Linked DNA regions of Canis lupus familiaris. The protein of the gene in region 1 interacts with the protein of each later gene in a pairwise test. Links are inferred from orthologs where the notes say so. Each region holds a gene or a part of one and is shown in the gene's direction. Other genes may lie near its edges.

Region 1 (4,298 bases):
TATTAAATTTAAAAAAATTATTTAAGGGAGGAGGGGGCAGTGAGAAAAAGGAGAGAGAATCTCAAGTAGCCTCCCCACTGAGAGAGGAGCCTGATCCCACAACCCTGACATCAGGACCGGAGCCAAAATAAAGAGTTGGATGCTTAACTGACTGAGCCACCCAAGTGCCCCCCCAAATGGAGACATATTGAAAGAACATAGAAGCTAACCTAAAGGGGCAGCAAAGTAACTAATTAATTGTAGGAGCTGCTGGCTGGCTCAGTCCTTAGAGCATGTGACTTTTGATCTCATCCTGGGTTCAAGTCCCACCTTGAGCATGGAGCCTACCTAAAATAAAAAAATAAAAAGAGGAAAATAAGAAATTATTGTAACCCACAAAATAAAATGCTCATGAGTTCATAGTGACATACTTGAATAAATGTATAACTAGAAAAGAATGGACAGCTGTTGTTTATAATAGAATTCCAATTAATGATTAATTAATAAATAGAAAATCACCATAGTAATTGTTGCCAGCAAGAACCATGGATGGATGCTAAAACTAGTGGGTGAAAATGTATTAAAAAAAAGTTAGGGTGTTTGCATGGTCTCTTGAGGTATCTCATAAGATACTTATTGAAAGGGAGGAAAGGGTAACTTAACAGTTGAGAAACTGGCAGACATTGCTTTAAGCAAGTAACCAAAGTCAACATCACCAATAATGAGACACATCAATATCCTATGACTCCAGATACGATGTATTGAAAAAGACACAACATCATTTCTGTGGGATTCCTGCCCAAAGTGTTAGGGTTAGGGTTAGGGGTTAGGGTTAGGGTTAGGGGAAACATGAGGAAACATGGGACAAACCCATATTGATGAGTAGTCTACAAAACTAGCACTCTTCAAAAGTACTAAGGTCAGGGGATCCCTCGGTGGCTCAGCGGTTTGGCGCCTGCCTTCGGCCCAGGGCGTGATCCTGGAGTCCCAGGATCGAGTCCCTGCATGGGGCTCCTTGCATGGGGCTCCTTGCGTGGGGCCTGCCTTCTGCCTGTGTCTCTGCCTCTCTCTGTGTGTCTCTCATGAATAAATGAATAAAATCTCAAAAAAAAAAAAGTATTAAGGTCATAGAAGACTAGGAAAGACTGAGGAACTGCCACAGAGTGGAGATTTTGGAGACACGACTAAACGCAACATGAGATCTTGGATGGGATCCTGGACCAGAGAAAGGTCACCAAAAGCGGAGAAGGGATTTTTGAACTAGATGAATCTGATTCCCAACCTAGAAAGCAGGCTGCCTGGGTCTGGCTCAACCACAGGCCACTTGAGCACCGCGTGACCTTGAAGAAGTCCCTGCCACCGTCAGACCTCAGTCTTACCTTCTACTAAATAGGATGCCCGCCCCCTTCCGGGCATCTCGGGCGTTGGAAACTACGCAGGCGCGAGAGAGACTGCTTGATTGGCTATTCGTGGTGACGCACTTGCGAACAGTAGCAGCCCCTAAGCCCCACCCCTTCCTGCCGCGCCTCCTAGCACGCATATCGGCCCCAAGCACGTCGCCTACACGCCTGATCGCACGCATGGTGCGTGGTGACGTCGCGGCGGCGCGGGCGCCATCCCGGAAGCGCGAGCAAGGCCGCCAGATGTGCAGGTGCTGCTGTCACCGACGCCGGGGCCGAGTTCGGGGTGGGGCTGGGGACGCCGGGACCGCTGGGGAGCCGGGCCGGGTCGGGCGCGGCCCCGGGCTGTCGCGGGGTGGGGCGCGCCGCTGGCCACATCTGGGCTCCCCTCCTGCGTACAGGCCTCAGTTTCCCCGTCCGCGCAATGTATGCGCCGGCGGCGCCACGGGCCGGTTCCGGATCCGGGGCGCGGGAGCTGGGGCTGACTATGTTCAGGCTGTGCAGTGTTACCCGGAACCGGGCGTTGCCCTCTTTGGGCCTCAGTTTCCCCGCTTTGCAGGGGCGGGGCGTGAGGGGTTATGCGAGTCCCACCTCACTCGCGGGTTTTGCTAAGGTTGGGTCGCCAAGTTAAATTTTGTTAAATAAGCGGATGGAATTATGGTGCCTCCGCCTTGCCGTGTGACCTTGGGTAACTGAACCCACCCGTGTGCGCCTTAGTGCCCTTGGAGATGATAGTGTTTGCTTTATAGGGGAGATTGGGGATTAAATGAAGTGCTGTCCAAGTGTTTGTTCCTGTTCTTGGAAGTACCAGGGAGCCCCTAGCTAAAATGCTGGTTCCCCGGCCCCGCCCTAGGACTTCATACTCTGCTTGGAGAAGCAGCCCGCTCTGAGCCCAGCTCCTTATCACTATTAGTTTCAGTACCCACAGACAGCGCTGTAAGGTTCTGATTCTTTGTTACTCTCCTTTTCTGGATGAGAAAACTGATTCAGGGAGGTGAGGTGACTTTCCCAAGGTCACACAGCCTCCCTCTCTGCATGTTTTCCTCATAAATACATTTGGAGCAGGGATCAGAGCTCTTGCTGGGTAATTTCCACCCTGTATGTGGGCCAGACTAGCTGTTAGCGAAGTCTTCCTGAGAAAGGCAGCTGGATGGAGAGTGTGCCTTGAATCCCTCAGCCCCATCTGGGACCCAGAGACAGGAAAGAGCCCTACTTTGGAGCAGAACCATTTTCCACGGGTCCAAATCTTGCACCTGCCAAGCACTAGCTGTGGGGCTTCCTGCCACAGGGCTCTGCCCTTCGAGCCCAAGTGTCCTCTTTATATATGATCATACTTCTTTGGAAATGTGGATACTGTGGGTGGTAGTACTTGGCATGTAGTAGGAATTCAATAAACATAGTGATTATTGGGTGAGGGGAACTTCACCAGGTGTGGCAGTTTATTTCCAGAAGACAGTAGGGGCTGCAAATAACTCTTGGCCTCCTTGATGCTTGCAGGGAGAAAAGTATTAACATTTGTAAATGAGGCAATTTCACACGCACGCATGCACACACACACTTCTGGTTTGTTTGTTTTTTTCCTGGAAAAATTCAGAAGTGTGGCAGAAGTTAGTTGCTGTAAGAAGCAGCTGTCCTGGCATAGGTGAGCATTGAAGATCTGTTCAGAGTCACACTTTTGTGGATCCTGCAGACTGTGGGCTTTTGAGTTGTGACTTGGGTTTACTGGCTATGTGACAATGACCCAGTTCCTCAGTGTCTGAGTCTCAGTTTCTTGATATGTGATTAAGGATAACAGTTCTCAGTGTATGAAGCTTAGTGGTTTGATAGCATGCAGTAAGTGATCAATAAAGAGGAAGGTAGAGTTAAGTGGGCTCTGAAAGCCCTTCCTGGTCCTGTATGTGAATCTCAACAAATTGCAACTGGGCCTTTCTGTTGGCAGGTAAATATGTAGACCCCAGAGCCAAGCTATGTCAGGACTCCAGGTTTTGTTTTTTGTTTTTTTTTTTTTTAAGATTTTATTTATTTATTCATGAGAGACACAGAGAAAGAGAGAGGCAGAGACACAGGCAGAGGGAGAAGCCGGCGCCATGCAGGGAGCCTGATGTGGGACTGGATCCCAGGTCTCCAGAATCACACCCCAGGCTGAAGGTGGCGCTAAACCGCTGGGCCACTGGGGCTGCCCAGGACTCCAGGTTTTGCAGGACACTGCCACCTACCCTCAAGGGTGAATGCTGAACCTGTGGCCCCTCCTGCCCTGGCATGGTCCAGGAGGCCCCTACCCGCCATCATGCTCATCTGCCTAAACACAGAGCCATCTAGGTTGCTGGGGCCCACAGACTGAAATTCTTGGCTTTAATTGTTAATAAAAGTCTACCGTCGTCGGAGTGCCTGAATGGACTGAATCCATTAAGCTGCTGCCTTCGGCTCAGGTTATGATCTCCAGGTCCTGGGATTGCACCTCACATCAGCCACCCTGCTCAGTGGGGAATCTGCTCCTCCCTCTCCTGTCCCTCCCTCCTTCCCTCTGCTCATATGCCTTTTCTTCCTTTCTCTCAAATAAATAGATAAAATCTTTAAAAGCAAAACAAAAGTCTATTGTCCTAACTAGAGGTGAGTTTGAAAGCTGCTAAGCTAAGTTCTGGTGATCCTTGCTGTGAGCCAGGTTCTGGGCTGGGCTCTGGAAGAGAGACATACCTCTTGGAGCTGACAATGTTTTGGGAGCAAACTGGTGAAAAGGTCAACTGATGGGGCACCTAGGTGGCTCAGTTGGTTAAGGTTCTACTCTTGGTTTCAGTTCAGGTCATGATCTCAGGGTCATGGGGTTGTGGGACTCTCTCCCTCTCCCACTCCCCCTTCCTTCCTTTTGTGTGTGTACACATATGCTCTCCAAGATAAATACATCTTAAAAAAAAAAAGGTC
Region 2 (4,111 bases), on another chromosome or scaffold:
TTTGTGGGTTTGTTTTTTAAACCAGAGACATGGGGACTGCTGTTGTATATTTATTTCAGAGCTCCCTGGACTTGATCAAAGCAAAGCGGTCCTTCCTCTCTCTTCTATACCTTTTACAATTTTCTCTGCCTTCCTCCTGCTGATCTACAATCCCTGGAATCACTGCCATTGGCAGTGGTTGGAAAGGCCTTAATTCTTCCATTCTTAGTGGGGCCAGGGGACGGCCAGAGGCAAGCGACAACGGCAGGTGGCCCACCAGTCTTCCACCAGCCCTTCGGGTGGCACTTTATTTCACCTTAGGGACACTTAACAAGTAGTACTATCCTCTGGTGAATTTTTGCAGAATAAAAACAGAAATGGGGGATCCCTGGGTGGCGCAGCGGTTTGGCGCCTGCCTTTGGCCCAGGGCGCGATCCTGGAGCCCCGGGATCGAATCCCACGTCGGGCTCCCGGTGCATGGAGCCTGCTTCTCCCTCTGCCTGTGTCTCTGCCTCTCTCTCTCTCTCTCTCTCTGTGACTATCATAAATAAATAAAAATTAAAAAAAAAAACAACAGAAATGTTTAAGAGGTACTTTGTGAACCACCTGAATTGCTTGGTTATTTTCTTTTCCAGAAGACAGGCCCACCCTCTGAGTTCGTAGGAGAAAGTGAATCATTTCTATATCGGAGCGTGAGCGACGCCCTCGGCAGCGATGACTGACATCACTTCTCAGGACCTTGACGACAAGCTTGCCCTTCAGCTTCTACATCTCAAATTCCTGAGTCATGCTCTGTTGTTGCTGCCGCTCTAGGAGCGAATTGCGGCAAGGACCCAAACAAAATGACGTGCGCGCGCGTGGTGAAGGAGGGTCACGGTCGGAGCGCGCCAGCCCAGCGCCCAGGAGCGGGGGTGCAGACGAGGAGCAAAGGGCACAGTGCAGGCACCGGGCACTTCCGTACCGGGCCAAAGGCACCCGACGACCCCCATTCTTTCTTCTCCTAGATTCCAGATCCCAATAAGCTGGAAAGAGCTCGATTTTCGCCCCCTGTGTTTGTTTTTGGATCCAACCAAGAAACAGCGAGCAAGAGGGAATAAGATATCTTTAGAACGTATTTTTTTTTTTTTTTTTTGCATCCAAACCACTTTTAATGTCACAGCCACACAACGAAATTCGAAGTAAAAAAGTTATATGTTCGCAATACTCCCGACGCAGGAGAGTTCGGACAGAGGGAGAGGGGAGCGCGCCGAACCGGACCGACTTTCGCCCTCCCCCCCCGCCCCCCGCTGCCGTCCGAAGGCTGGGGGCGGGGCGGGGAGGCGGGACGTCATGACGTCATAATACCAACGCGCCGCCGTGTTGTTTTTGTGCTCGAGGCTCCGGGGAAAATCCGCCGGGATTTCTCCACCTGAGCGACTCCGTCTTGCGTCCGAGGGGACCCGACGTCCCTTCTGCAAGCTCTGCCAAGGCGCGTGGCGACGGGAGCTGACGTTTCTCAGGCGGTTCTGACACCTACATCGAAATTCGGCAGGGGGAGGCGAGGCGGGAGAGACGCAGCCACCCGCGAGGAAGGCAGGCCCCGGCCGGGGAATCTTAGAAACCCTGCGGTCCATCATGAAGTTCCAGTACAAGGAGGACCATCCCTTTGAATATCGGAAAAAGGAAGGAGAAAAAATCCGGAAGAAATATCCGGACAGGGTCCCTGTGAGTGTAATGGGGGGCAGGGAAGAGGAGGGGGGAAGGGGCTGAGCGCGCTTGGGGGAACCCGGGAGTCGTGGTGGCTGCCCTGAGGCACAGAAGAGGGGTGGTCTCTAGGGTTGCTGAGCCCCTGGAGAGCCGTGGAGCGCACGTCCTGATTGCGGACCCTGCACGGCCCGTCTCCCCGGGGCCGCTCTCCCCGTCATCTTTAGAGCGGAGCCTCCGTTTGAGTGACTCAGCAGTATTCAGAGGATGTGCAGGGTGAGAAGTGACCAGAACGTGGCCCTTTAGTGAGAGCAGGATCGAGATGGGACCATACATTCGCGTCCTTCAGAATCCCAGGGAAATTGTTCTGGAAATAACTTGGTGCAGTGAGGTTTGCGGCCATGGATTTCTGCCTTCGATGCGTCTCCCTGAAGTTGACTTTGGCTCTCAGAACATTGGGTTTGGGAGGGATAGATTCAGAAATCAGTGGATCCTTTCTTTTATTCCATAAGAATGAGAAAAGTGTCTTTGTTGGGGGGGGGGGGAGGGGAGGGCACGAGACAGGCCTGGCCCAGAAAACAAGGTCACGTTCTCTGCGCCACAGCCCGATTGCCTCATCATTCTTGGCTCCAGGGGCTTGTGAGGGTGCAGCCAGCCTCCCTCCTGTACTTATTCTATCAGATTGTACCTGGACACAACCATGAAGGACTGGGGCCTTTTGCTTCCGTCTTGGAAGCTGGTTTCTGTGGTTAAAATTAGTGCCGGCAGTGGGGAGAACAGAGAAACATTAAGGTAGCTTTCTGCATCCGGGCGCTTTTTTCGTCGCCCCATCCCCCGCCGCTTGCCTGTTTTTTTTTTTTTTTTTTTTTTTGTAATGTAGGCTGCGCAGCCAGATTGGAAGGCAGAAGACTTTTGAGTGTGGTGGTAGAGGGAACAACCACCGTTGGGTTTTGGAGATGGAGGAGCAGAGGCTGTCAGATTGTACTATCTTCAGGCAGGGACATTGGGATAAAGATGACGTATTATGTACAGGCAAAGTAATTGTGATTATGTGTTGTCAGTTCTTGACCTGCAGGTACTCTTTGGGACTCTTCTCCAATCCTTACCTAATTTTCATCGTGTTACAGCTACTGGAAGCAACTTGGGCCTTAATGCCTGCAGTAAAACTCCCCTGCAGTCCTTTATAAGGAAGCGAGACTTTAGGTCTGTTCCATTCCCCACGAATTGTACACAAGGGTTTTCAGCTAAAAAGGAGATCTAGCTCTATTACCCACCCAGTAAATGATCCTTCACAAATTACTTGTTTGGTATCTGGACTTTGGGTGACAGCTTCAAAAGTTTGCCCCAATTGTGGTGGTAGCAAGCCTCCTTTCGTCTAATAGTTAAAAATGACAACTAACTTTCATTGGTTGATTGTTTGCTCTATACTGACAGTATTGCATGTCCTCTGACCTTACTCAATCTTCACACCGTTATAATCCCATTCTACAGATGAAGGATCTGAAGCACAGAGAAATGACGGATTCCTAAAGGTTTCCTGTGGCTGGTGTGTGGCAGAGCCTGAGATTCCAACTCTGGTTGTTGGACCTTCCATGCCATATCGTTTCTCAATTTCTAATACAATTCTCTTAATTAAGAATTAAGGAAAATTAATCTCAGAATTAATTAAGGAGGCACTGTGTGACTCACACTGTTAGGTATTGGAAATTAAGAAAAAACATTGCAGCCCTAGAAAGGTCAGAGAAGTATGATGCCAGAAAGGTAACCCACTGAGCAAAATGACTACCATTTATTCAGAACAGTATGAGGCTCTGTTCCAGTAGCTCTGCCTAAGCCACAAACTCTGAAAGGTACCTGTTCCTAAATCTAGTTAAAATTCCCATGTATTTCTTCAAAACCGAGCCCTTGCCATTTCAGTCTCTTACATGCATTCACCCAGAGTATTTCAGCTAATCTTCCCTATTCTTTTCCTGCTCATTGTTTGGTGTTAAAAATGTTTGGCCTGTGTGATTACTTGTCAGCTCTTAGAATCATCACTCAGGTCTCATGGTTCCTTCAGTTGGGTTTTAACCAGTTTATAAGCGTTCCAGCTGCTCCTTAGGTGCTCAGCCTGTGACCTTCTTTGTGGTCGTGATGCAGGAAGAAGAGCTCTGCTCTCTGAGTTGTGAGATTTAGTTTTGGGCCAGATCCTTAATCTTGCTGTACTAAAGTGTACAGAAAAGAGGGTTAGTGTAAGTGATTTCTAAAACCCCTTCCAGCTGGGCCATTGGTATTTACCAAAGCAATCAGGTTCCCTGACTGCTCACATAACTCAGTTTTAGTTAGGCCCCTCCTTATCTCTTAGCTACCATCCAAAAGAATGGATGTGCTCCTGCCTTGAGAGGAAAGGTTTTCTTTGGATCTTAAAGTATCTGCATAGCTACAGTGTATTGAAAACCTTCAACACTGC
Region 3 (4,155 bases), on another chromosome or scaffold:
GTGTTAATCACGATGTGACAGGTCAGACTTCAAGTTCTTTTCTTTTTCTTTCTTTCTTATTATTTTCAGACTTCAAGTTCTTAAGCATGGACTAGGAGGGAGGAGGGCTGCAGGTCAGACTTCAACATAGATTTATTTATTTATTATGTATTGAGTTTTTTAATTATTTATTTATTTAGTTTTTATTTATCTGTTTTAGTTTTTAATTAGTTTTTTAGTTTTTAGTTATTTATTTATTTAGTTTTTAGTCATTTATTTAGTTTTACTTATTTATTTAATTTTAGTTTTTAGTTTTATTTATTTAGTTTTATTTATTTTTGATTTAGTTATTTAGATTTATTTAATTTATTTATTATTTTTGTATTTTGTATTTTTGTATTTTTTTAAATTTTTAATTAGTTAATTAATTAATTAATTTATTAATTTTCAGACTCCACGTTCTCAAGAATGGACTAGGAGGGAGGAGGGCCGCGAAGCCAAAGGCGGGACCCGACCCGAGCTCCGGGTAAGGGTCCCAAGAGGGTCGGGAAGGTTCCCCCGCCGCGCGTGACCTCCGGCCCAGTTGTCGGGTCCTCCAAGCCCCTCCCTCCGAGGGGAGGGCGCGAGGTGCCCGCGAGGTGCCCGCGAGGTGCCCGCCGCACGACCTCTGCCCTAGTTCAAGCTGGGGCGGCCCTGCCCGTTCCTCGCCCCGAGCCCCGCGCCCCCTCTCACCCGCGCAGGACAGCTTGGCCAGCGGCACCGACATCTTGACGGGTCCCAGGGCCGCCTGCGGCTCGCCGCGGGCCTCGACGTCTAGGCCGCGGGGGGCGCCATCACTCGCCGGGAAACACCGACACCTCGGCGGCAGTCCCCCTCCCCGCGCTGCCCGCGGCTTCGGCTTCCCCACGGCCCCGCCTCCTTGTCGCTGTGCGCCGGCGCCGCGCGTGACGCTCACGGCCGGCAGGGACTTCCGGGTCAGGTGCCGAGGCGGGCGAGGGAAAAGAACTCCAAGTCCCAGCAGGCCCCGGGGTCAGGCTGAGGATTGGTTCTCCGTTCGCGTCTCAGCAAGGCGTGGCGAGGCCGCGGGAGGGCGGGTGAGAGGGACTCACAGATCCCGCGGTATATGGGTGCGCATCAAAAGTAGTGTTTGTGCGTGTGCGGGGGGAGGGGTGGCGGAGCGACGCCCACAGCATTCTGGGAGTTGTAGTCCTCTAACCCAGGCGCCTTCGGAGCCTCACTGGAGTTTGCGCAGGAGCGATGAACTGCCCCAAGGTGAACGAACTGACCTCTGATTGGGCGTCCGGAAAAAAATGACCGGCATCCGCGGCCCTGGGCAGAGGGCCCCGCCGAGACCGGGCGGGGCTTCGGGCGGGAGAGGCGGGGCTTCCGGGCGCTGGGCGCGAGCGGTTTGAACGGCGGTGGGTGTGGGTCGGGCTGCCGGGCTCCGACCCGCGGTCCCAGCCCCGCTGATGGCGGCCCCCGAGGAGGCGCGGGTCTCTTCGCCGCCGCCGCCGCCCCCCTCCTCCCCCTCGTCTTCGGAGGCCTCGTCAGCCTCTTCCCCCGGCGTTCCGGGGAGGTCGGGCTGGCCGGCTCCGAGCAGCGGCCGCGGCCGGTCGGCGGACCCGCTGGAGGAGGTGGAGCTGCAGATCGGAGACGTGAGTGTGGGCGGACGGTCCCGGCGCTCGCGGAGGCCGCGGGAGGGGGGGAGGGGGGGGGGAGGGGAGGGGGGAGGGGAGGGGAGGGGGCTGGGGAGGGCCGCGAGCCGGCGGCCGGGGGAGGGAGGCAGGGGTGGGGAGAGGGTGGCCGCGAGCAGGCGGCCGGGGAGGGGAGGGGAGGGAGGGGAGGGGAGGGCCTCCGGCTCGCGGGGGCTCGCCACCATCCCCCATCGCGAGACCCCGCCGCTCTGGGTGGCCGCCTGCCGGGTGCCCGGGCCGCGGGCCTCGGGCGTGCTGCACCCCGTTTTGGGGCTCCCTTAGGGCTTCTGTGGCCCCGATTGGTTTCCTTGACGGCTGGGCCCGAGCCCCACGGTGTCCGTTGCATCTCCTAATGCGGCGGTCACACCCCCTCGCACACCCACTCCGGGGGGTGGGGGAGGCAAGCGAATGAGGTCCGCGGGGTGCAGTCCTCCTGGGAGAACCGTGCGCTTGCACGTTCGACCCCCCGTGCAGGTGGGAGCGTCGCTCCTCGCTTAGCAAGCGTTTGCGTTTCCGTCTTGTTTTGTTTTCAAGATGATCGAAGTGCTGACACAGCTTCAGTTTTCGCTGAACGGGACTGGTTATCAAGGGAATATGTAGAGTGGACCGCTGATCTCTTATCTAGGAGCAGTGTTATGTTAGATTAATAGGTGAAGAAAAAACATTTGAATAAGAAGTGAATTGCACCAAGAGTTGGATATTTTGTGTAGGCTGCTCTAGTTTGTTTTGGTTTTGTTGATGTTATTTGTCCGTTCGGAGTATCTCTCTGTTCTTTGGTCTGTGCATTTTCATGGTGTAAGTAGTGTTCACAGGTTAAATTAGTGGGACGCTACTCCTGTTACCTGCCAGGCAGTTGTTTACGATGAAGGAAGCCCTTCAGAGGCTTCTGGAGCTTAGTGTCTAGGGATCCAAGTCCTCTTTTTTTTATCTTAATGAGAGTCTGATGTATTTTCTTTCTTTTAAAGGTTTTATTTATTTATTCATGAGAATACACAGAGAGGAGAGAGAGAGAGAGAGGCAGAGACACAGGCAGAGGGAGAAGCAGGCCCATGCAGGGAGCCCGACGTGGGACTCGATCCCGGGTCTCCAGGATCAGGCCCTGGACTGAAGGCGGGGCTAAACCGCTGAGCCACCCGGGGATCCCTATTTTCTTTCTTTTGAAGATTTTTTTTTTTTTTTTTTTTTAATAATCTCAACACCCAATGTCGGGTTGAACTCACAACACTGGGATCCAGAGTCGTCGCTTGCTCTAGGACTAAGCCAACCAGGTGCCCCTAGAGTATTTTCAATTAAAAAAAAAAGGTACTGACTTGTTATGTCTGGTACATAGTGGATGTCCTTCCAGCAGACATATTCCTCAAAGCTTACGTCATATTAAAGAATTTCTTAGGTTTCTGGAAAGAGCTGGTGTTTTATATTGTTTGACTCTATTTTTTTTTGTTTTCATTAAATTTCAGGCAGCATTTTCATTAACCAAACTTCTTGAAGCCACATCTGCAGTATCAGCTCAAGTGGAAGAGCTTGCCTTCAAATGTACAGAAAATGCACGCTTCCTTAAAACCTGGCGGGACCTCTTGAAAGAAGGCTATGATTCTTTGAAGCCTGACAACTGATTTGGCTGTGTGATAATTCATACTTGCTCATTTATGATGTTTGCATGTGTACCATAAGTATAAGGTTGTCTCCAGCAGTCTGTGTATTCAGAATGCAGTTTTTTTTTTTTGTTTTCTTCACTTTTGTGAAAGCAGAATACCGATGCTATTTTTGATGCTGGCCAATATCTATCTTTAAATACTTTCTGTTCTCTAAACTTTCATAGAATCTTTTATGAAAGTTATTTCATCATTAGATAAGGTTAATAATGCCACAGTGTTACCAGTAGAAAAAAACAGGTAGAGCATTCTATTTGATTTCCAAGAAGATGCTGAAAATGCCCGAGTTTGAAGTTGAGCTTCATTTTATGGACCAAAGGAAATAACTTTAAGGCTACTAGTGTTGGCCCAGCTCCACTAGGCCAGGTTCCCTGGAACTAATGATTGTGTCTGTCTTCTTTATCCCCAGCACCTAGAACAAGGGTAGTGTTCAAACCAGTAAATGTTTGTTGAATAAATGAGTTGACAGTACAATTAAAAGCTGTTTTTTTCTTCTTGTTTTTAGCGTGAAAATTGTAATTGTTTTTCAAAAAAATATTTGAATCAGAACCTGACTTGAAGGAATTTTTTTTTTTTTTTTTTTAACGGGGATTTGATATTTAACTGATGACAGTTTTTAAAAATATATGGTAAATGTTTTTTATCCTTCATCCTTCATGATGCTTTTTAAAGTTTTTATTTCAGAAAATGAAAGCTGTCTAGAAAGAATGTATATATATATTTTTTTCTCTGTTTATTTCTCAGGTTACATGCTTTGTGATGTTGTATGTTCTTTTTAAAGTGCCTTATCAAAATTATGGCTCTGTACCCTTTTTGAATTTTGCACATAA
Region 4 (3,571 bases), on another chromosome or scaffold:
GAGGAGTTCACTTAGAAAACCATCTGGATTAATTTTTTTAGGTATATAGCTACTCACTTTGTATATTTCTTTTTTATTTTTATTTTTTAAAGATTTTATTTACTTATTCATGAGAGACACAGAGAGAGGCAGAGACATAGGCAGAGGGAGAAGCAGGCTCCCTGTGGGAAGCCCGATGCAGGACTCGATCCCAGGACCCCAGGATCCGGACCTGAGCAGAAGGCAGACACTCAACCACTGAGTTACCCACATGCCCTGATCATCTGTTTTATTTTTTTAAATTTTTTTGATCATCTGTTTTAATAGGTGAATGTAAAATCTTTTTTACCTCTGATTTTGTATCATTTACCATTCTTTTAACTACTTTTTTTCTCCTTTCCTGCTTTGGCCATTACACTTTCCATTCTTTAGTGATCCCTCATAAGTGTCTGAAATACACACTTTGGTTTACAAAGCTGGGCAATTATCAGTATCTTTATCTTTCTCCCCTCAAATCAGGCATCTTAGAACACTTGAACTGATTGCCCTCTCCAGTCTTACCAGTTGTGTCCTTTCTTGTTTTGTACTCCACAGATTAACCGTCACTGTTCATGTTCCACTGTGTTTTAGATCTACTCACATGTTTGCCAGTTGAGTTGCTCACCATTTTTCTATCTTCTCTTTGGAGTTCTGCAAATTCATTACAAAGTGCCAAAATGCTACTTTTATTTATCCCGCTTTGGATTTTATGTGAGAATCCTGGTCTTTAATGAAGTTTGTAAGCTCTTCTTCAGGTACTGCCTCTCCCATTTTTTTTCTCTCCTTCTGGAATTCTGATTGGGCCTGTGATAGGACTGAAGTGAGAAGACTCACTTCCTCTTTTACATTGCCCATCACCTAGTTTCTCTGGTGAGTTGCTTCTGATCTATTTTCCAGTTCAGTGGCTTATCTTCTATATCTAATCTACTTTTTTGTCTCATCCTTTGAGACCTGAATTTCAATAGTTTTTCTAATTCTAGAAATTCCTTCTAAAACCTGTGTTCCTTTTTAGTGTCTTGCTCTTTCATGTTTTAATCCCCTCACCCTAGCTTTTTTTTCTCTAATCATGAGCTCCACGAAGGCGAGAAGGTCTTTGGGTTCACTGTTGTCACCCCCGGTGCCTCGCACCGTTGCTGGAACAGAACAGACTCCGAGTGTCCTATGGGATGACTTGGCACCAGTGGGAACGGAAAGATGCCGATCTGGGGACTGGCTCTGGCTCCCGCTCGCTCTCGGGCTCTCGGGCTGCGGGAGCCGAGAGGTGGCTCAACCCCGGCTTCGGGGAGAGGGGGCGGCAGCCCATGACATCACCGGACTGTGACGTGCCCAGGAAGCCCCGCCCCTTCGCGGCCCAGACCGGGAATCCAGCTCTGTCCCGTGACGTCACGGGTCCGGGCGGGAGGGTTTTGCGTCGGCCCAATGGGAGTGGCGCGCCGGCCTCCCCTTTAAGGAATGTTGTGACCTGACGTCACCCGGGCGAGTTACCTCCCCGAGCCACCGCCGCCAGGCTCAGCTCGAGCCCCGGAGCCCTTGAGCGCGAGGCGCGGAGCCCCCGAACCTCCGCCAAAGCCCCCAGCCGCGCGCCCCGGAGCCCCGGCCTGCGCGCCCCGCCGGGCCCGCGCGATGCCCTCGGACCGGCCTTTCAAGCAGCGGCGGACCTTCGGTGAGGCCCGGCGGGCGGCCAGCGGGCGCGGGGAGGGGGCCCCGCGAGACTGACCCTCACTGCCGCAGGCGACGTCAGCCCCGTGACGTCAGACTCGGGCTGGACCCCTGGGCCGTGAGGCAGGTTCAGGCCTGGGCCGGGACCTCGCCTCCCAGCCGGCGGGTGCCAGGCCCTAGGGCCTGATGGCCCTGGGGGCGGGGGTTGGGGGGCGGGGCCGGGGACAGGCGGGGCGAAGGGCGAGCGGGACCGCGGCCTTACTGCCCGCCCTCTGTCCGCAGCCGACCGCTGTAAGGAGGTGCAGCAGATCCGCGACCAGCACCCCAGCAAGATCCCGGTGAGTCCCGCCACCCCCCATCCCCGCGGCCCCAGGCCCCGCCGGGCTCACGCATCCCCCGCCCCACCCCTAGGTGATCATCGAGCGCTACAAGGGTGAGAAACAGCTGCCTGTCCTGGACAAGACCAAGTTCCTGGTCCCAGACCATGTCAACATGAGCGAGTTGGTCAAGATTATCCGGTGTGTGGGCAGCAGCAGTCAGAAGGGGCTTGGGTCCTTCTGGGGGAGGGCGAGGCCCCAGCAGGCCGGGCCTGGCCTTAAATCTCTGTTCTGGAGAGGTTGGGATAGTCAAGGTCAGGGCTGGGATCAGTGTCAGGTCAGAGGTGAGGGCTCCTAGAAGGGGCTGGGATGGGTGTGAAGCCACCTCAATCCTTTGGGGGGAAGGGGGGTGTAGGGCTCCACCCACCCAGGAGCCAGGTCCCCTCATACTGGCTTGCTCTTCTGCCCACCCCAGGCGCCGCCTGCAGCTGAACCCCACGCAGGCCTTCTTCCTGCTGGTGAACCAGCACAGCATGGTGAGCGTGTCCACACCCATCGCGGACATCTATGAGCAGGAGAAGGATGATGATGGCTTCCTCTACATGGTCTACGCCTCCCAGGAAACCTTCGGCTTCTGAGCCAGCAGTAGGGGGGGTGGTTGGCCTGGGAGTGGGGGGGTGCCCTGTCAGGCTCTGCCCAGGGAACTCCTGGCTCCTGAACTGAACTGCTCTGCCCGGGCTGGGCTGGGCAGGGATGCTGGCCCCCTAGCCAGGGGGCACCAACTGCACCTACTCTGCCCCTGGGTGGATCCTGGGCCAGTCATTGTTAGGGATGCCCTCCTGGGTGCTGGCTGGGATGGGGGAGGGTGGGGAACAGCCCCCAGCACTCTTGCTCGTGTGATTTATCTTTTTTTTAGGCCCCTGCCCATCTGCCCCTCCCTCACCTGAGGCGCTGCCCCCCTGCCTGGACCTGCCCACCCCTGAAGGACTGGCCCTTGGCTCACCTGATCTTGACATGGTGTATGGATCTGTGGTCATTGTTCCTCTGCAGAATAAAGATTGCTCAGGCCTGCCTGGCCCTTTGCTTCCAGCTGCTTGGGGAATGGGTAGGGCTTCGGGTGGCACTGTCTCATACTAGTTTCAGCTCACTAGGAACAGCTTTGTGTGCTGTGGACTTGGGGCTCATTCTGGAAACTCGCACCAGTGTGTGGTATACCGTGGTGATATAAGGGGCCAAGCCCACCCTTTCCAGGAGTTCAGTGTGGGCCCAGGATAGATTTCATAACAAAAAAGATTTATTAAGTAGCCACAACCTAACAAATCCTGCTCACCTGCTTCTTCCCCTTTCCAGCATGGAGGGGGTTCCCTGGTATGCAGAGCCAAAAAGTGGGGGTCCAAGTGGAGTTGCTCCTGGCTATTCCCCACAGGCCTTGCTGCCAGCCATGGCTCCCCTCTGGTGCCAGAGATTTGTAACCCTGGACTCGAACCTCATTTGCCTGAGGACTCCTCTGCTGGGAACTCTGGCTAGAGGGCTGGGCCCAGCCTCTGGCCCTTTGACCCCCTGAAGTCCATGCAGCC
Region 5 (4,231 bases), on another chromosome or scaffold:
TGCTCAGCGGTTTCGCCCTGCCTTTGGCCCAGGGAGCGATCCTGGAGTCCCGGGATCGAGTCCCGCGTCGGGCTCCCGGCATTGGAGCCTGCTTCTCCCTCTGCCTATCCCTCTGCCTCTCTCTCTCTTTCTGTGTGTCTATCATGAATAAATAAAAAAATAAATCTTTAAAAAAAAAAAAAGGACAGTAGTAATGCGCCTGGGTGGTTCAGTCAATTGTACATCAACTCTTGATTTCCTCTCAGGTTATGATCTTGGGGTCATGGGATTAAACCCCACATTGAGCCCCATTTGAAGCCCCTCATTGGGATTCTCTCCCTCTGCCCTTCTCCCTGCTCACACATGCTCTCTCTCTAAAATAAATAAATGATGTGATATAATGAACACTGAGTATTATGAGACTGGTGAATCACTGGGAAATAAAATAAAATAAAATAAAATAAAATAAAATAAAATATAAAATAAACGAATCTTTAAAATAAGGTAAATGCACCTGAAAACACTTAAAGAAGAAAACAATAGCAAATGTCATCAAGAATATGGAAATATTAGCACCATCAGACGTGCCATGGTGAACATAAAGTGGTCCTGCCAATTCGGAAAACAGTTTGGGAGCTCCTCAAAAAGTTAGACGTATAGTAACCATAGGACCCAGCCACTCCTGAGTATAATACCTAAGAGAAACGAACACATTTGTCCATGCAAAAACCAGTACAGGAATGTTTGTAGCAGCATTACTTGTAATAGCCAAAATGTAGAAAGAACTCCAATGTCCATCAACGGATGAAGAGGTAAACAAAACAGGTATACTCATACAACGGAATATTATTCAAGCCATAAAAAGGAATGAAGTATTGATACAGTGCTACAATGTGGATGAACCTTGCAAACATCATACTTGGTGAAAGAAGCCAGTCACAAGACCATCTATGGTATAATTCCATTTATGTAAAATGTCCAGGTGAGGCAAGTCCATATAAAAAAGGAAGACTGTTGTCAGGGGATGCCAGGAGTGAGGAAGGAGAATGACTGCTAATGGGCTTCTTTTCAGGGTGATGAAAACATTCTAGAATTAGAGATGATGGTTGCATAACTCTGAATAGAGGAAAAATATCACTGGAGTATACATTTTTAAAGGGTGAATTTCATGCTGTGTGAATTACATCTCAACTTAAAAATCAAAAAAAAATTTAAAAAAAACTGCAGCGCTTTTAGAAACCCCTTGCCCTATAGAGAGGATGCCCACAATCCAAGAGCAAACACCCAGACCAAGCAGAAGGTGAGCCACTCCCCCAAGCCAGGGACGACGACCTGGCCGTGCCTCCAGGAGAGGAAGTCCCGGCTGGGAGGCCGCTGATTGGCTGAGCTCTGGGGGAGGGCGGGGCGAAGAGGGGTGCGCCGAGGCCCTTTCGCAGGGGCGGGGCGGGCAGAAGCCTTCGCTCGCGAGATTTTGCTGGTTCCGCATTTCGGGTCGGCGAGGTGGGGGAGGCGACGCCGCAATTGCACCGGCTAGACCCCCGGTTTAGAGCTGCGGCGCCCGGTGCTTCCGCTGGCCGCGAGCTGAGGACTGGCCGCTTCCTCGTGGTTCCCGCGCGGGCTCCGAATCCAGACCGCGGCGGGGGCCAGCGGCCCCTCCCCTCCGAGGATAGAAGATGAGCTTCCTCTTGTGAGTGTGGCCGGGCTGAGGGTCCCCGGGCTGAAGGCCGAGAGCCAGGGCGAGGAAGGGGCTACCGGAGCCAGAGGCGAGGGCCGGGCCCCGGGGGCCGGGGCGGAGCGGCGGACGCCTGCCTCCCCCTCCCACCTCCTCCCCCGCGGGCCGCGCGGGAGGCCCGGACGTGGGCCCTGGCAGATGGAGGTGAAGGTCGAGGCGGGGGAAGCGGAGCGAGTGGGTTGCGGAGTCGAGAGGCCCCGAGGCCGCCAGTGCCTCCAAAGTTTTCCGCCCCAGCGCGGCTGAGGGCGGAGGGACGACCCGGGGGCGGAGCCCGGAGCCCCGCAGCTGGGCTCCCGATTCCCCTTAAGTCTGGAGCTTTCCAGTCCCGATCCCTGCTGACTTAGCTTTTTACTCCACCGTTATTATGTCACGTTTTAATATCTTCGGTATTAAGTTACCCCCGCGGAAAAACGCTGCCCCAGGAAAACGTGGAGTGCCACAGCTTGAGCAGCTTCAAGTTGAGCTGCCGCCTTGCTTGCAGACTTCTGTCCAACTCGGATTCAGTCAGTCCACTTTGCGATTTTGTGTAGATTTTAGTTAATAATCTGCACCCATCGTGGGGCTCACATTTACGATCCCAAGACCGAGAGTCGCATGCTCTACTGACTGAGCCAGCCAGGCAGCGTTGTGACTTTGTGTAATTAAATTTTCTGGGTAGAATCCTGTTTTAGAGATACGGCCTGGGGCCCAAATGAGTCTTAAACGGAAACTTTTGTAAATTCTCTGATGATTCTTGAGCATGTTAAAGGTTTGGGAAGCATCTCTCCAGCACCTCATTATTTTCAGAAGGCTCTTTCTACCTGATACATTACTTAAATACATGCTGTGTGATTGAGGACACATCCATCACACACATACTTGACATTTTTGTTAGATTTTATTAAAGCACATAGTGTTCTGTAACGAGAATTTATCTAGTTCCTTAATGTGAGGATGTTTTGCTTTGGGAGGCAGGTTATGCTCAGAGACTGAGTTTGTCTTTGCCAGCAATTTATTTAACAAAGGTTTGCTGTAGGATTTTCACAGGCCAGTAGCATACCGGATCATGTCTCAACAAACTAATGAAATACTCCCGAGTCATTGATAGATTAAGTACACTGTTTTTCCGGGCAAGGAGAGATAAAAGAAAGCAAGCCCACGTTTAGTTGAGGTGCTCCTTTCTAGGAGTTGGTACTGAGGAGACGGGTTGGGCTTAGCCAACCCAGAGCTGAGGTCCAGCTGCCAGCACTAAAGTAAAAGTCCCTTGTTGCCAGGCAACCATGGCGCTGGTGTTGACCAGCAAGTGGATTTTCCTTCTGGACTGGGCATTTGCCTGGCAGGGGCCGGTTGCCCCAAGGTTTAAGAAAGCTGTTTAGATCAGCCAAGTGTCACCTTGTCCAGACGGAACACTCTCAACTACTCCTCACAAATTCTTGGTATTTATAGTCAAAGTGTCTCCTTGTCATGCTTGCTTCTTCGTAAGTTTTCACTGATAAGCCCCAGCAGGGCCGCTTCAGCTGCCAAACTACTGAGTTATGGGTGAGAACAGATGAGATGATGACATCTCGACACTATTTACCTCATATTTACCTCATTCTTATATGAAAACGACTTTTTTTGGTGTTTGTCATAAACAAGTGGATTAAAACAAATTTCACTTAAGTCATAAACAAGTGGATTTGAAATCTTATCAAACCAATACACAAATTTGGATTCTATCTAGTATTTTGTTATTATAAAATAGCACTACTGAGAGTATCTTTGTTCAAATCCTTTTTTCCCACCTTTCGATTATATTTTTAGGAGTATGATCAACACAGTGTGATTACCATGTCTGAAAGTTTGTATGATTTAGATGTAATTGTAAATCTCTATATTACTGGAACAAACTTTCCCTCCACCCCCAAGGTCTTTTTTTTAATGAGTTAATGTTTAGTTAGGGGTTTGTTTGTGGGTGCTCACCTGCTTAGTTACTTTTAGGATTAAAACGTGAGGCTGTTTTTTAAAAAAACTGTTTTGTTGACAGGCATTTGAGTTTCCACTTTTTGGCTATTACGAATAATGTAGTTATGAACTTTTGTGTTCAGATTTTTGTATTGGATGTGTATGTTCACCTCTCTTGGATATATATGTAGAAGTGGAATTGCTGAGTTATATGGTAACTGGTTTAATCTTTTGAGGAACTGCCAAACTTTCAGAGCACTGCACCATTTTGCATTCCCACCAGCACTGTGTGAGAGTTTCAGTTTACGCACACTGTAGGTAGCACTTGTAGTCTTTCTGATTATAGTAATCCCAAGTCGATGTGAAATGTTACCTAATTGTGATTTTACTTTGCATTTTCCTAATGATTAATGAAGGTCAGCATCTTTTTGTATGCTATTGGCCATTTGTAAATCTTCTTTAGAATGTCTATTCAAATTCTGTGATCATTTTTTTTAAAGATTTTATTCATTTATTCATAGGGAGAGAGAGGCAGGGACACAGGCAGAGGGAGAAGCAGGCTCCATGCAGGGAGCCCAACATGGGATTCGTTCCCTC
Region 6 (2,584 bases), on another chromosome or scaffold:
CCCTCCCGGGCTCCTGGCCCCACCGTTGCCCCCTCCCTATGCCTCCACAGCCCTTGGCCTCACGGCGCGCTCTGACGTGTGGGGCAAGACTGCCCACAGTGTCGACTGTCGGGTGACGGGTTCGGGGCCCGGGGCTGGGCTAATGCTGGCCTTCGGGGCTCCTTCCACAGAGCAAGCCATAGCCCACAGTCAGCAGCGGCAGGCTGCTTCCCGGGAGAATCAGGCCCGCACCCAGGTGCTCAGCAAGGAGGTGCAGCATCTCCAGGAAGAGAAATCCCGGCAGGTGAGGACAGCACTGCTCTGACCGCGGAGCCTCATGCCAGCCGCCGGGGCAAGGGGCCGGCCTCGGGGGGCCGGCAGGACCCCAAGCTCCTCTGACTGGCCAGCACTTCGGCCAGTTTGGTCTGGCCCGTGTCTAGGCGGGCAGGTGGGCATCCCTGGGGCCTCTGCGCTCCCCAGTGCGGGAGCTCCTTCCTCCTGTGAGGCCAGTGCCCTTCCGCTCTGCTGCTTGACTGGGCGTCGGCGCCCCTTCCAGCTTGAGCAGGGCCAGCAGGCGGGCTCCGGGCCCTCACAGGGCTCTGGCCACCTCTGCCCCCAGTTTCTGGACTTGATGGAGACGATCGACAAGCAGCGAAAAGAGATGGCCAGGAGCAGCAGGTGAGTGCAGCCCCGTCGGTGCGCCTGCGGTTTGGGTCCTGGCTTCGGCCTTGTGGGATGACTGACCCCAAGCCTCGTCACCTGCCCGCCAAGGTGGTGGCGTGTGCTTCCCAAGGACACGGGCTGGCGGGTTCGGGGCGGCCGCTGAGAATACCACTAGCCGCGGCTGGGACGTCGTGGAAGCATGAGGAGCAGCCGCTGCTGCCAGAGCGAGGGGGCCTGGGAGTGCTCTGAGGTTTCTCGGACCTTCCTTTCTGCTTCTAGGGCGTCAGCAGCACGCATGGGTCAGCTTCAGGAAGCCCTGAACGAGAGACATTCCATCATCAATGCCCTCAAGGCCAAGTCAGTGGGGCTGGGGGCAGGAGTGGGGGCGGGCAGGAGTGGGGGGCTCTGGAACATTTTAGAGATGGACCCACGGTAGAAAAGTGACACACACAAGAACTAGTCCCCAGTATACAAAGTAGATCCCTGGGTTGGTAACCCCGGAAGGCGTCTTGGAGGAGGTGAGCTCTAGCTGAGGTGAAGAGTGGTGGGCAAAAGTGAGAACGGCACCGCGTGTGCGAGGCTCAAGGCGAAGCTGGGACGGGGCTGGCTCTCCCCTCCTCCCAGGCTGCAGATGGCCGAGGCTGCCCTGGCCCTGTCAGAGCAGAAGGCCCAGGGCCTGGGGGAGCTCTTGGCTACCACAGAGCAGGAGCAGAGAAGCTTGGCACAGAGGCAGGCAAAGGAGCACAGGCTAGAGCAGCAGGTGAGCAGGGAGGGCTGGGTGGGCACAGGGTGGGCAAGGGCGGGCAGGCGGGGTGACCAGCGATGCCCCATCTCCCCCTCAGGAGGCTGCAGAACGGGAGTCTAAGCTCCTCAAAGATTTATCTGCTGCCAATGAGAAGAACCTGCTTCTGCGGAACCAGGTATGGGGGTGTGGGCCAGGGCCCTGGGGAGACTGGGGTGGGGGGCAGGGGGCCGGGCCACAGGCAGGGGGCAGGATCATGGGGCAGGGGGCCAGGGCAGGGGCTGGGGCCACGGGGAAGGGGGCAAAGGCAGGGGGCCGGGCCACAGGCAGGGGGCAGGATCATGGGGCAGGGGGCCAGGGCAGGGGCTGGGGCCACGGGGAAGGGGGCAAAGGCAGGGGGCCAGGGCCACAGGCAGGGGGCAGGGCCACAGGGGGACAGGGTCACGGGCAGGGGCCAGACCGGAGCTTCCGTCCATGGTGCTGGCTTCCCAGGTGGACGAGCTGGAGCGGAAGGTGAGATCTCAGCAGGAGCAGCTGTTCCTGGCCAGGCAGGAGCTGACCAACACGGTGGCTGAGCTGAAGGCGCGGGCCATCCAGGCTGAGGGTGGGCACATGCAAGCCCACAGTGGAGGGGCCCAGAGAGGGGAGGATGGGTGGCGAGGGCACCCGGGGAGTCCCACCCACGCTGTCTCCCCTGGGCTTCCAGAGCGTCTGGAACTGGAGAAGAAGAGGTCCCGACAGAGCTCGGAGGACCTGGAGCAGCTGCGAGCCAAGGAGGTGCCACCTGCCGTCCCTTGTGACTGCCTAGGGCCCACGGGAACCTCAGGGGCATGGTGTCCCCAAAGCACACCCCTGCTGTGCTCCCTGGCAGCCTTGGGGTGCTGCGTGGTAGATCTCGGCCAGCCCCAGCAAGTGACAGACCCAGAAACTCCCGACCAGCCTCTAGAAAGGACCATAGCACAGGCTGCCAGGTGCTCCGTGCCGTCTGGGCGTGGCCCTGGGACGTGCCCTCCATCTTTACTTCTTGCCAAGCCAGGGGGGCAGCCCCTTCTCAGGAGGAAGTGTCACCACGATTTGCCTGCCACAGGGTGGAGATTGCATGGGGGATGTAAGCTGGGGCGCTAGTTTTCCAGCCCCATTCCTGCCCCTCACCTTGGCAGGTGGAACACATGACTCGCCACCTGGAAGAGAGTGAGAGGG
Region 7 (3,318 bases), on another chromosome or scaffold:
AGCATGGGGCCTCACCCTCATCCTGCAAAGGACCCTACGCACCTCGCAAAGGCCGGCCCCCAAGGACCAACCCACGGGGTGTTTGGGCCTTGATCCACTAGTGGGGCCCGAGGGCGGTGGGCTCCCAGGTCAGGGACACAGCACCCCCAACCCCAAGCGCACGTCCTGAGAGGCGCATGTTGACGTGGACAAAGGGGTGAGTCTGAAAACCCCTGCCATGGGCCAGGTGACCTCCAGGGTCTCAGGTTTGTCTTAAGGACTTGTTATCAATCCTATAGGCCCTGCCTGGTGGGATTGATGCGAGGTGGCCAGGAGATGCGGGTGAAGGGGACAGCAGGACCCCTGCTCATCCCGCTCCTCTGCAGGTGGCCGTACCCGGAGACTGAGGCCCAGACAGGCCTCCCCACTGCACCCCCAGACAGCAGGACACCCCGAGATGCTCCGCATGGAGCCTGCTTTAGAACTGCCCTAATTCCATTCTTTTTTTTTTTTTTTCATTCTTTTCTTGAGTTAGGAAATCTGCAGAAACTTCTGCAGACCCCTATATTAACTTCAGTTGAAAACAGGCAAACAAAACACACAGGGGTGGGCTTGCTCCAGCGCAGGAGGCAAGCCTGGAGCTCTGCAAACCTCGGAGGCGTGGCCCGGCCCGTGCCCCCCACCATGCCCGCAGTCCGCGCTGCGGTCTGCCTCCAGCCAGCTCCTTCCAGGTGCACCTGTGCCCCCCCAGTACCCGGCACCCCGCGGAGCAGCCCCTGAAGGCCAGGCCCCCTCCCCGCAGACCTCGAAGGCCAGCCCTCTCCCCCGGCAACCCACGAAGGCCAGGCCCTCCCACCCTCACACCCCCCCCCCCCCCCCCGCAGCCCCCAAGCCCCGCTCCCCTCCCCAGCCCCGGAAGGCCAGGCCCCCCTCCCCCACCCGCAGCCCCCTCCCCCTCCCCTCCCCCACCCTCGGCCCTCCCTCCCCCACCCACAGCCCCCTCCCTCCCCTCCGCCCGCACTCCCCGAGGCCAGCCCCTCCCCCTCCCCCATCCCCCGCAGCCCCCCCTCCCGCAGCCCCGAGGCCAGGCCCCCCTTTGTGAAGTGGCCGCCGCGTCACAGGCCCGGGTGGGGCTCGGGAGGGGCCGCGGCCCGCGGGGCGCACAGGGGCGCAGCATGGAGGGCCTGGGCCTGGGCCGCTGCTCCCCGCGCTCGCCCCTGCGGGGGTCCCCTCGGGAAGCGGGGTGCCCCGACTCGCCCCTGGAGAGCCACAGCCTGACCCACGTGGCCGCGAGGGTCCCCGCCCGCGCCAGGAGGCCCCGGCCCCCGCCCGCGCCCCGCCCGCAGCCCCGGGGGCCCCCGCAGCCCTCCCCGGCCACGGGAGACCCGCCCCCGCCCCTGCCCCCGCCCGCCGGGAGCCTCGGGGCGCAGCGGGCGCAGAGCGGGGACCTGTGGGCGGGGCGCGCGGGGGGCGCGGGGCGCTGGTCCCGGGCCTCGGGGCTCCCGGACGAGCCCTCCGTGGCGGCCTGGGGGGTCCGGCCGCCGTGCGCCTGCCCGTGCGCCTGCGGGAGGGCCGCCTGCGAGCCGCGGGGGTCCCAGGGCAGCCGGCCCGGCCCGGCCGCGGGGCCCCGCGCAGACCCCCCGAGCGCGCAGAGCCGGCAGGACCCGCTGCAAGAGGCCGCGGCGCGGCCCGGGGACCAGAGGGCGGCGGGGGTGCTGGCGCGGCTGCAGAGGGCCCGGCGCATGCGGGAGCTGCAGCGGCAGGCGGCCCCGGAGGAGCTCCAGTGCTCGGGCCACAGGGTGCAGGCGACCCTGGGCCGCCAGCGCGGGCGGCTGCTGCAGGAGAGCCCGGAGAGCCCGGAGAGCCCGGCCCAGTGGCCGCAGCAGGAGCCGCGGGGCCGCGGGCCGGACGGCCAGCCCAGGGGCAGCGCCAGGTCCGGACACCCCGGGGAAGCCCCCGCCTCGGAGGCGCAGCCCGCACCCCGGACGCAGGGCCCCGAGCCGCCACTGCAGGAGCCCCCCGGGGCGGTGCAGGGCCCGCGGGAGCAGGATGGGCCGCAGGTCGGGATGCAGGCCTGTCCGGGGAAGCTGCCGGCACCAGAGACCCAGGCCAGGGCCTGGGAGACCAGCCTCAGCTCGCTGGTCAACCACCAGGCGCGGAGGGTCCTCCTGGACTGCCAGGCCAAGGCCGAGGAGCTGCTGAGGAAGCTGTCCCTGGAGCAGAGCTGCCCGCAGCCCCTCGACAGCCAGCACGAGCCGAGGACCGGGCCACAGAGGCCACAGAGGCCGCAGGAGCAGCTCAGGCAGGTACAGCCGCACGCAGGGGCCACCGAGGTGCAGACGCGGGCGCACCAGCAGCTGCTGGCCCAGCTGGCCGAGCTGGAGAGGTGGCCGCCCAGGAGTCCGGAGCACAGGAGCGCCAGGGACAAGGGGCAGCACAACCCCGAGCTGAGCGTCCCGCGGGAGGAGCTCCGTCACATCCTGAGGCTGACAGCCAAGAAGGAGGAGAAGGGCCACGTGGAGGGCATCATGGAGGGCATCAAGGAGGCCGTCAGGAGGAAGGAGCAGAGGCTGGAGCAGATCTCCCGGGAGAGCGACGCCGCCTTCCAGGAGTTCCAGAAGCTGTCCTGGGCCTCGAGGAGGGACCAGGCCCGCGCGCTGGCCACCAGCCTCCTGGAGCAGAGGCCGCTCAAGGGCCCGCACGGGGCAGGGCCGCAGAGGTGCTGAGAGCGGGGCGCCCGGCGCCGGGGCGAGGCAGAGGCGGGCACCTCTACGCCCTGCAGAACCGGGTCGCCACCAGCACAGGTTTCAGAAAATATATAAAATACCTGCACTTTCCACTCCTGAACTCGCTCGTTGATTCATGCCGGGACTTGGGAGGGCTGGGGGTACACACGCCGGGATTTTAAGAAAAGGCCTTGCCTTCCTAAGTTTCAATTTAAATAGAAAATACTCATTTCGCTGTCCGGTAACCTTAGAAGCGCACATCAGGCCCCTCCTTGAGGAACTAGAGAAGAATCCACAGGAGGGGATTCAGATCCAGGTCCTAAGTCTTTGGCCATCCCAGAACTCACACATTATAACTGGTATTGGGAACGGATGCTCTGAGGGACGGAAAGTAAAATAATCACTGTGACGTGAGGTGTGAAGTCACAGGAAACCTCCAAGAAAGAAGAGATTGTGTGAGTGGGTGAGTGGGAGGCTCTCTGCAAACAAGTGGTCTGGGAACCCTGCACACCACGTGCCCTCTTAGCTGTTTCTAATGCACCTGAAGGTTTTAAAGGCTCTGAAAAGGCCTGCAGTAAAGAAATTAATGGTGAAACCTAGTGGTTGTCACAAA

What was found.
Region 2: the proteins of KXD1 (region 1) and GABARAPL1 interact in binary tests that used the Homo sapiens proteins (3 or more experiments, as listed by UniProt). The two-hybrid records come from large-scale screens. The link is inferred for Canis lupus familiaris from reciprocal best matches to the Homo sapiens genes KXD1 and GABARAPL1.
Region 3: the proteins of KXD1 (region 1) and C15H4orf46 interact in binary tests that used the Homo sapiens proteins (3 or more experiments, as listed by UniProt). The two-hybrid records come from large-scale screens. The link is inferred for Canis lupus familiaris from reciprocal best matches to the Homo sapiens genes KXD1 and C4orf46.
Region 4: the proteins of KXD1 (region 1) and MAP1LC3A interact in binary tests that used the Homo sapiens proteins (3 or more experiments, as listed by UniProt). The two-hybrid records come from large-scale screens. The link is inferred for Canis lupus familiaris from reciprocal best matches to the Homo sapiens genes KXD1 and MAP1LC3A.
Region 5: the proteins of KXD1 (region 1) and MOB1A interact in binary tests that used the Homo sapiens proteins (3 or more experiments, as listed by UniProt). The two-hybrid records come from large-scale screens. The link is inferred for Canis lupus familiaris from reciprocal best matches to the Homo sapiens genes KXD1 and MOB1A.
Region 6: the proteins of KXD1 (region 1) and LRRC45 interact in binary tests that used the Homo sapiens proteins (3 or more experiments, as listed by UniProt). The two-hybrid records come from large-scale screens. The link is inferred for Canis lupus familiaris from reciprocal best matches to the Homo sapiens genes KXD1 and LRRC45.
Region 7: the proteins of KXD1 (region 1) and CCDC185 interact in a two-hybrid assay, tested with the Homo sapiens proteins (2 studies listed by BioGRID and IntAct). The two-hybrid records come from large-scale screens. The link is inferred for Canis lupus familiaris from reciprocal best matches to the Homo sapiens genes KXD1 and CCDC185.

What each region holds. Positions count from the first base shown.
Region 1 is NC_049241.1:44,895,443-44,899,740, reverse strand, and holds the start of KXD1 (kxDL motif-containing protein 1), read left to right. Parts: upstream 1-1,498; 5' UTR 1,499-1,630; intron 1,631-4,298.
Region 2 is NC_049248.1:10,352,222-10,356,332, forward strand, and holds the start of GABARAPL1 (gamma-aminobutyric acid receptor-associated protein-like 1), read left to right. Parts: upstream 1-1,311; 5' UTR 1,312-1,593; coding exon 1,594-1,683; intron 1,684-4,111. UniProt on the Homo sapiens protein: Ubiquitin-like modifier that increases cell-surface expression of kappa-type opioid receptor through facilitating anterograde intracellular trafficking of the receptor. Involved in formation of autophagosomal vacuoles.
Region 3 is NC_049236.1:56,143,745-56,147,899, reverse strand, and holds the start of C15H4orf46 (renal cancer differentiation gene 1 protein), read left to right. Parts: upstream 1-1,355; 5' UTR 1,356-1,448; coding exon 1,449-1,634; intron 1,635-3,130; coding exon 3,131-3,286; 3' UTR 3,287-4,155. Other genes in the region: ETFDH (electron transfer flavoprotein-ubiquinone oxidoreductase, mitochondrial), read right to left, coding at 712-745.
Region 4 is NC_049245.1:24,182,743-24,186,313, forward strand, and holds MAP1LC3A (microtubule-associated proteins 1A/1B light chain 3A), read left to right. Parts: upstream 1-1,486; 5' UTR 1,487-1,641; coding exon 1,642-1,681; intron 1,682-1,959; coding exon 1,960-2,015; intron 2,016-2,088; coding exon 2,089-2,195; intron 2,196-2,469; coding exon 2,470-2,632; 3' UTR 2,633-3,071; downstream 3,072-3,571. UniProt on the Homo sapiens protein: Ubiquitin-like modifier involved in formation of autophagosomal vacuoles (autophagosomes). While LC3s are involved in elongation of the phagophore membrane, the GABARAP/GATE-16 subfamily is essential for a later stage in autophagosome maturation.
Region 5 is NC_049238.1:49,414,908-49,419,138, forward strand, and holds the start of MOB1A (MOB kinase activator 1A), read left to right. Parts: upstream 1-1,431; 5' UTR 1,432-1,652; coding exon 1,653-1,666; intron 1,667-4,231. UniProt on the Homo sapiens protein: Activator of LATS1/2 in the Hippo signaling pathway which plays a pivotal role in organ size control and tumor suppression by restricting proliferation and promoting apoptosis.
Region 6 is NC_049230.1:1,121,797-1,124,380, reverse strand, and holds part of LRRC45 (leucine-rich repeat-containing protein 45), read left to right. Parts: intron 1-170; coding exon 171-283; intron 284-598; coding exon 599-657; intron 658-921; coding exon 922-999; intron 1,000-1,266; coding exon 1,267-1,402; intron 1,403-1,484; coding exon 1,485-1,562; intron 1,563-1,876; coding exon 1,877-1,988; intron 1,989-2,090; coding exon 2,091-2,161; intron 2,162-2,544; coding exon 2,545-2,584. UniProt on the Homo sapiens protein: Component of the proteinaceous fiber-like linker between two centrioles, required for centrosome cohesion.
Region 7 is NC_049259.1:24,499,196-24,502,513, reverse strand, and holds CCDC185 (coiled-coil domain-containing protein 185), read left to right. Parts: upstream 1-1,154; coding exon 1,155-2,705; 3' UTR 2,706-2,818; downstream 2,819-3,318.